2 linked regions of the Macaca fascicularis genome follow. The protein of the gene in region 2 binds, or shares a complex with, the protein of the main gene of each other region. Links are inferred from orthologs where the notes say so. Each region holds a gene or a part of one and is shown on either strand. Other genes may lie near its edges. The genes, in order: PFN2 and VASP.

Evidence for each region.
Region 1: the proteins of VASP (region 2) and PFN2 are in contact, whole or in part, in a crystal structure (PDB 2V8C), measured with the Mus musculus proteins. The link is inferred for Macaca fascicularis from reciprocal best matches to the Homo sapiens genes VASP and PFN2. Residues at the interface, in NP_033525.2 of Mus musculus: Gly165, Pro166, Pro167, Pro168, Pro169, Pro170, Gly171, Pro172, Pro173, Pro174, Pro175, Pro176; in NP_062283.1 of Mus musculus: Gly3, Trp4, Ser6, Tyr7, Asn10, Cys13, Tyr30, Trp32, Met131, Tyr134, Ser138, Phe140.

What each region holds. Positions count from the first base shown.
Region 1 is NC_088376.1:52,800,470-52,804,836, forward strand, and holds the start of PFN2 (profilin-2), read right to left. Parts: upstream 2,936-4,367; 5' UTR 2,599-2,935; coding exon 2,467-2,598; intron 296-2,466; coding exon 103-295; intron 1-102. UniProt on the Homo sapiens protein: Binds to actin and affects the structure of the cytoskeleton. At high concentrations, profilin prevents the polymerization of actin, whereas it enhances it at low concentrations. By binding to PIP2, it inhibits the formation of IP3 and DG.
Region 2 is NC_088393.1:53,582,089-53,585,891, reverse strand, and holds part of VASP (vasodilator-stimulated phosphoprotein), read right to left. Parts: intron 1,542-3,803; coding exon 1,457-1,541; intron 687-1,456; coding exon 637-686; intron 517-636; coding exon 275-516; intron 140-274; coding exon 39-139; intron 1-38. UniProt on the Homo sapiens protein: Ena/VASP proteins are actin-associated proteins involved in a range of processes dependent on cytoskeleton remodeling and cell polarity such as axon guidance, lamellipodial and filopodial dynamics, platelet activation and cell migration.

The sequences.
Region 1 (4,367 bases), on a different chromosome or scaffold from region 2:
AATAGCCATTATGGACTAACTTTTATTCAAAATGTTAAAAGAAACTGCTTAATAAGTTGTAACGTGGCATGCAACTTTTAACCAAAAGAATGCCTTACTTACCTCTACCAGCTCTGCCGACAGCAACATTGTATGTTGGCTCCCCACCTTGACTCTTTGTCCGGATGTCCATTGTGCAGTCACCATCGACGTATAGACTATCTCTGATCACTGAGCATTTCTTCGCGCCAAGAGTCAAACCGTTGGTAAAGAAACCTTCCCGGTCTTTTCCTACAATCATATCTATTTCTATTGGCTGTCCCCCACCAGAAAGAAAAAAAAAAAAAAACATGAAGTTGTAGTTAATTCCTTTTAGGGCTTGATGTTAACAGGAAAGGCTGTGTGCCATGCCAGACAGCCACATTTCACTAACGTAAAACCAAGATTCGGTCTTTTCTTAATAATTACTTAATTCTATATAATCACATCTTTTACATCAGTTGATTTGATTTCAGTTAACGGTGTCGTCTCTTAACCAAGACCAGTCTATATAAAGAAACTCTAAATAATTGATAGTTGACACTAGACAAAGTGCAAACTTAAAGAGTTATTTATAAACTGTATTAAGTCAGCTGGTGCCTGAAAGTGTTCACGTAATGGTAAAAATTCAGCTATCAACTCTTTGAACACAGCTGGTCTATCATATTCAGTCCCATTACAGTAAATCATGTTTCATCACATTTAAAGTTGCTTCAAAGTCTCCCAAAATAAAGCCTGTTCTTTGATTTGTTCACTTCTCTGCTTGGAATAACTAGAAATATACCTGATGATATGGACTTCAATCCCCGAACATCAGTGCTTTTCCAAATTCATATTTCCCTCCTATTTTTCTAGCCACGACTCCTGTTTCTTTCCAACCTCCCTTCCCCTCCCATCTCAGTAATCAGTTTTCTTTCTGGGCAAACGCAAAGTGGATTCTGTCTACAGCACTGCGGTAGGCAATAGTAAAACAGAGAAAATGGAGGGAGATTGGGAAAGAAACTGAGGTAGCCACCAGAACCGGAAAGGAGAAAACGTGCATTCTAACATTCCATGAATAAGAAGGAAGGCGTCGCCCCCATCAGAACTGCAGAGTCATAGCAGGCCCCAGCCATTTCCAAGCACACTCCCGCAATCTTCCTCGTCAGACAGCGGGAACTCACACACAAAGACAAGAGGACTGCAGGAAAAAAGTTGATGACCAGATGCCAATTCCCTACAAGAATTGTAGTCCACTGCGGGTATACGAGACCTTAAAGTACTAGCATCAAGGACTGAGTTCTAAAGTCAGACTTTAAACCACGTTAAGTGGCAAAAGAATAATTAGCACCCATAATAGGGGACCTGAATTTTGGTGTTTAATGGGAAGGGAGCGTGGTGCTAAGAAATTAAAGGAATGGTCTCGTATTTAATACAATTATCATAATTTTAGAAACAGCCTTGGGCAGAAACAGGCAAAACAATAAGCTGGAGGCTTACTTGCAAATATTCCCCAAACATACTGCAACCAACTCAAAACCATCAAGTCTCAAGAAAATCAGGCAATGTGAAGCATAAAACTGCATTAGTTCCTTTACTGCCACCACTAAAGAGGGAGGGACTTGGAGAAGTGAAGTGTGCTCCTGGTCTTCGCAGATAATTGAAAGCCCCCGAAAAGCACCCCTTTTTTGAGCTATGTTGCGTAACTGGGGATAACCGTATATCGATGAATCTCCATATGAGAAGGAGAGAAATCAATGGCAGTTCGCCATCTTGGAGAATTAAAAAAAAAAAAAAAAAAAAAAAAAAACAACCTATAGAGCTACAGCTGAAGTCGAGATTCACGAATCCACCTACGCGGTCGGCGCACATCTCTCGCAAGCCCCAGAGGCCTGGACATCGGCAAACCTACGCAAAGTCGCTTCGAGAATCCCGGGGGCCGGGTCGGGGCCACCGCCTCCCACAGCCGGAGGCGCGGGCGGCTAGCTGTCCGCCGAGCAAGAGGCGGCCAAGAAGCCTGGGGACCTCTACCCGGGGCCCGCGCTCCCCGGCCCGGATCCCCGACCCCCGCTTCCACCCCAGGACGTGCATAGCAAACCTCAGGGCTTCAAGAGAACCTAGGGGAACCGCACTAGCAGGAAAAAAGGAAACCCTCCCCTTGCCCTGGCTGGTGCGTGCCCCCTCCCCCAACCCGGGCACCTGGACCCACGCTGGGAACGCCGGGGACGCCCGGCGAGGGCCAGCAAGGAGTCTGGCCGCCGCCCCCGCTTGTCAGCGCAGCCCCGGGTGAGGGGGCGTCTCCGGGCCTCGGCCTCCCAGCCTGCCCGGCAGCCGCATCCTCGGCGCCCGCTGCCTAGCACACCTGCGGGCTCGGCCCTCGGTGTTCCGGCCCCGCGCTGCGGTGCCCCCGCGGCCCGCCAACCCCACTCCGGTGCAGGGACCAGGGTCCCGGCCGCCACTGGTCCTCACCGTAATGCTCTGAAAGACGCCCCCGGCCGTGGCTGCCCAGACGTATTTGGCGTCGCAGTAGCCGACAATGGCGGCCTCCTGGCAGCAGCCATCGCACATCAGGTTATCCACGTAGCTCTGCCAACCGGCCATCTTCGAGCCCTTCGCACTGCAGCGCGGACGGCGAGGAGCAGCAGGCGCGGCGGCGGCGGCGGCGGCGGTAGCGGGCGGCGGCGGCGGCGGCGGCGCGGGGGAAGGCGGGGCGGGGGCGGGGAGGAGGCGGCTCTGCGCAGGCACCGACCGCCCCCCTCCCCGAGGAGCCGCGGAGGGAGGACGCGGGTTCAGCGATGAGGGACGAACCTCAGAGCGCGCCCGGCCACCCGGCCGCCCGCAGCCGCGGGGCTGACTAACCAGCGGCGGGAGGCTGCGGAGCGGCTGTGCCGGTGGTGGTGGCGGCGGCTGCTCCTTACCGCAGCGCCCTCCGTTCTCCGCGGATACGGCGGGGCGTGCGCGCGCGCGTGCGTGCGATCCTTCCGCGGCGCCCTGGCACGGAGGGTCCCGGGAAGGGCGGGGGGAGACTGAGGCGGGGGCGCGGAGGGATACCGCCCCGGGACAATCACGGCCGCCACGTGCGGCAGGCGCCGGCCGGGCGCGGTGGCGTTGCGGCGGATGGCCGATCTTCGGACCCCGGGCCGGCGGAGAGGGGTGGCCCCCGCGTCGCTCTCGGCACCCTAGGAACAGCAGCCGCAGGGACGCCTTGGAGCCCCGCGGCCGGGCCGCGATGTGCTTTTCTTCTGTGTCCGCTGCCCGGGATGCGGAATCTTGAGCCTTGGTGTCGGGTTGCAGAGTTGCCCTGGTGACGGGATGCGGAGCGTTTCCTCTTCTTTGTGGTGGGGGCGGCTGGTGGCAGGGTCGCCCACGCTAATCTCCGAGCCCCTAAGGGCGCCCTCTTTCCTGGAGCCCTTTTGCGCCTCGCCCATAAAGGCAGACCCGCGGGCGCGCGCCGGCAACCTGAAATCAGAGCAGGCGTCCGTGGCGCTCAGGCACCTTGCTGAGCTTCGCCGATCTTTCATTGTTGCTTCATTTGGGTACCAAGGGCCTCTCATTCTGTGGATTCTTTGCCTGGAAGAGCCCCCTTAGTGTTGCTAATCACGTGTGTGCTTAAATGGCTCGTAAATTCCGAACAAAACAAATAGCGACCTGTGTTACACTGTTTCTTGGTAACTGGGAAAGTTACTGGTGGCTCGAAGTATACGCAGAAAATACAAAGATTAAAAACTAGGGACGAGTTCACTGAATGAACACCATAACATTTCTGTTCTGCAGGGTAAAATAATTTCGGGACCCAGGTCTGGGCGAGATTTGCATTAACAAGGTAAATGGTGGGTGGAGTGCCTGAGAAGCTATTCGTATCGTCTTTGGTAGCCTCTGGGCACTAGGACTAGACATGGAATTAGGGGTCCCCCAACAAGGACTTCAATTTTAGGTTAATAGAAACCATCTGCCACTTAGGGAAAGCAAGCGCCAAAATGTAGATAAGTTGATGTTCACCCTTAAAGTTACCGTGTAAGGTCATGATTTGTAGGAGGATTAAGGCATGTATCTCTGGAAAGGGCAAGAACGTTGCTTTTAAAAGTCTAATTGGTTCTGAAGTTTGATGTTTTTTCTGCTGATTCCTTTAAAATGTTCGGCTACTAGAGAGAAAAAAGTACAGTAAAAGAACCCCCAAGTCGGAGACCTATCAGACTGAGAATATGTATTTTCTCATGTTCTAAAGATACAGAATACCTGTGTGGTGTAAAATGTGAGCCAAAAATTGTTTCATTTCTCTAAGTGTGCCTCCCACCTAATTTAATTACACTTAATTGTTCTTGTTTATAACTGCCTTTTATGGTGATGTTGATCATTTTAGTCCTTCGATC
Region 2 (3,803 bases):
AATCTCCAGTTGACTCGGGCGTCCAGGCTCAGGCTCACCTCCGGGCCAGCATGGCGTTCATCTCTTCCATGAGTCCCCCACCTCCGCTTCGACCACTCTCAGCTTTGGGGGCTGCGGGCCCCCCTGAGGCCTCCTCCTGCTGGAGAAATTTAAAAGGGGCAGGAGCTTTAGGGGCAGGCCTTTTGGCCTTCCAGGCCTATGACACCGCCGGCAGCCCTGGCCTCATCCCCCATAAAAGCCCTGTTGCCCCTTCCCACCTCTCCTGGCCCCTCACCTTGCTGACTTTCCTGAGTTTGGCTCCAGCAATAGCTGCGGCCAGGCCTGGGGCCCCAGCTCCCCCACCACCAGGACCCTGTGCTGCCGGGAGAGGGGGTGCAGGGGGTGGTCCTCCCCCTGCTCCATGTGCTGCAGCTGGGACCCCCGAGGAGGGCAAACCTGGGGGTGGGGGGGGACCTGGAGGAGGGGGAGGTCCTGGTGGTGGGGGTGGACCCCCAGCTGGGGGAGCAGGTGGGCCTCCTGAAACAAACACAGAAAAGGGGGCAGCTGAAAGAGAAGCTTCGTTCTTCACTGTCCAGCTAGCTGGCCTCTTCCTCCAGGGAGGCCCCCTCCCAACTCCCGAAGCCATCTGAGCATCACCTGCATTGGAGACCCGGCGCTCTAGGTGCTCCGACGGGCCGGACTGCTGCCTGTAGGGGGAGGCGAGGGAGCTGCCGTCAATCAGGGCCCTAAGGATGACCAGGGAAGGGGCCAGCGACCTCCATCCTCTCTCTCAGAGGTCTCCAGGGACGCTGGCTCCTAATCCTCACCCAAGCCTTCCTCCCCTAGGGAACCAAGAATGGGGGTGGGTGAGAGTGGGGGGAATGGAGGGCAGGGCAGTGACAGGGAGAGATCTGAATGCAAGATCTCAGTCACTAAACTGTCAGGAACACCCGAATGACAAAATGCCCAAGATTCTTTTTTTTTTTTTTTTTTTTTTAAAGACAGAGTCTCACTCTGTCACCCAGGCTGGAGTGCAGTGGCTCGATCTTGGCTTACTGCAACCCCCGCCTCCCAGGTTCAAGCGATTCTCCTGCTTCATCCTCCCAAGCTGGGATTACAGGCACGGGCGCCACCATGCCCGGCTAATTTTTGTATCTGCAGTAGAGACAGGATTTCACCGTGTTGGCCAGGCTGGTCTCAAACTTCTGACCTCAGGTGATCTGCCCGCCTCAGCCTCCCAGAGTGCTGGGATTACAGGGGTGAGTCACCACGCCCAGCCACGAGATTCTTTCAACCACCATATTCTGATTTCCAGGAATCTGCAGGGACCAGGAGGTTCTGCAACTCTCAGTGTCAGAAATTTCTTGAACATTCTGAAAACTGCAAGTTGGCTGGGTTCTGAACTCTAGGAGTCAAGGGTTCCAGAACGTATGGAACTGGCCGTGGCTAAGGTTCCCCACCCAGGGCCCAGCCCCACCTTTTCTGCTGCTCCACCTCCTCCGGGGAGGGACCGTTCGGGACCGACCAGGTGGGAGGTGCTGGGGGTGGAGGGGGCCCACCTCCTGGAAGGTGAGAGAGAAAGGGCCACAAGTCAGTCCCGGAACTCTGCTCAGCCCTTGGCGTTTCCCTTGCTCTTCCAGGCCTCCCAGGAATCCTGCCCAGGGGCACTCACTTCCTCCTTCCTGAGGCCCTGAGGCTCCAGGCCCAGGAGGACACACCCTGGGAGGTGAGGCAGCACCAGCCTCCCTGGCCTGAGTTGCCCTAAGGCAGGTGTTGTTGTGATGTCCCAGTGACAGGAGAAGCTAAGGCCCAGGGGACAGTCACTTGCCCCAAAGTTCTCCAGGTTGGAATGTGCAGGAACAAGACTTGAATTCAGGCCGATTCCAGCAGCCAGGCTCTTAACCACTGTTGGTTTGTTTCGAGACAGAGTCTCACTGTCACCCAGGCTGTGGAATGCAGTGGCGCAATCACGGCTAACCACAGTCTCAGTCTCCCCAGGCTCAGGTGATCCTCCAACCTCAGCCTCCCGAGTAGCTGGGACTACGGGCACATTTCACCACGCCTGGCTAATCATTTTTTTTTTGTACAGATGGGATTTTGCTATGTTACCCAGGCTGGTCTCAAACGCCTGAGCTCAAGCTATCCAACCACCTCGGCCTCTCAAAGTTCTGGGATTACAGACATGAGCCACAGCACCTGGCCAGCTCGTTTTTTTTTTTTTTTTTTTTTTGAGATGAAGTCTCGCTCTTGTCCCCCAGGCTGGAGTGCAATGGTGTGATCTTAGCTCGCCGCAACTTCCGCCTTCCGGGTTCAAGAGATTCTCCTGCCTCAGCCTCCTGAGTAGCTGGGATTACAGGCACCTGCCACCATGCCTGGCTAATTTTTGTATTTTTAGTAGAGATGAGGTTTCACCATATTGGCTAGGCTGGTCTCAAACTCCTGACCGCAAGTGATCCACTCGCCTCGGCCTCCCAAAGTGTTGGGATTACAGGCGTGAGCCACTGCACCTGGCCCCTGGTCAGCTCTTAACCACTGTCACAGCCACTTGGACCTTACCTAAGAACCTGGAAAGGTAAAGAGCTTCTTCCTCACCTACCTCCAGGCCGCTGGCCCCAGCACCCACCTGAATTGAATTGGCTATGAATTAACATGAATTAGCCCCATTTTACAGATGACTACACTGAAGCGCACTGTATTTTTCTGTGTGCCCCAGAGGAGCAAACCCCTTCCGCACTAGCACAGAAGTTGCCCCACAAAGCAAACACCGCTGCATTTGGTGACTTTCAGTTCTACAGCAGTGATTCCAGGCCAGATGCATGGCAGTGACATAAAACCTCGCTACTCAGTCACATCCGCGGACCAGCAGCCTCGGTATCACCAGGGCACTTGTGAGAATGCAGAGTCTCAGTCTCCCTAGCCCATTTGCACCGGAGCCTGCACTGTAACCATATCCCCAGGTGATTCATGTGCATGTTAAGGTTTAAGAAATAGCAACTGGGCTGGGCGCCTGGCTTGCTCCTGTAATCTCAGCACTATGGGAGGCCAAGGCGAGTGGATCACCTGAGGTCAGGAGTTCGAGATCAGCCCGGCCAACGTGGCGAAACCCCGTCTCTACTAAAACTACAAAAATTAGCCAGGCATGGTGGTATGCACCTGTAGTTCCATCTACTCGGGAGGCTGAGGCAGAATTGCTTAAACCCAGGAGGCAGAGGTTGCAGTGAACCGAGATCACACCACTGCACTCCAGCCTGAGACAGACAGACACTCCATATCAAAAAAAAAAAAAAAGGAAGAAAAAAAAAGAAAAGCAACTGGACTGGGTGTAGTGGCTCATGCCTGCAATCCCAGCACTTTAGGAAGCTGAAGTGGATCACTTGAGCCCAGGAGTTTGAGACCAGCCTGTAGACCATCTCCACAAAAAGTAAAAAAGCAATTTTGAAATGATCCAGGTGGCTGGGCGTGGTGGCTCACACTTATAATCCCAGCACTTTGGGAGGCAGAGGCAGGTGGATCACTTGAGGCCAGGAGTTCAAAACCAGCCTGGCCAATATGGTGAAACCCCTTCTCTACTAAAATTACAAAGGCCAGGCGTGGTGGCTCACACCTGTAATCCCAACACTCTGGGAGGCCTAGGCGGGCGGATCACGAGGTCAAGAGATCGAAACCATCCTGGCTAACATGGTGAAACCCTGTCTCTACTAAGGACACAAAAAATTACCCGGGTGTGGTGGCTCACGCCTGTAGTCCCAGCTATTCGGGAGGCTAGGGCAGGTGAATCGTTTGAACCCGGGAGGCGGCGGTTGCAGTGAGGCGAGATCACGCCA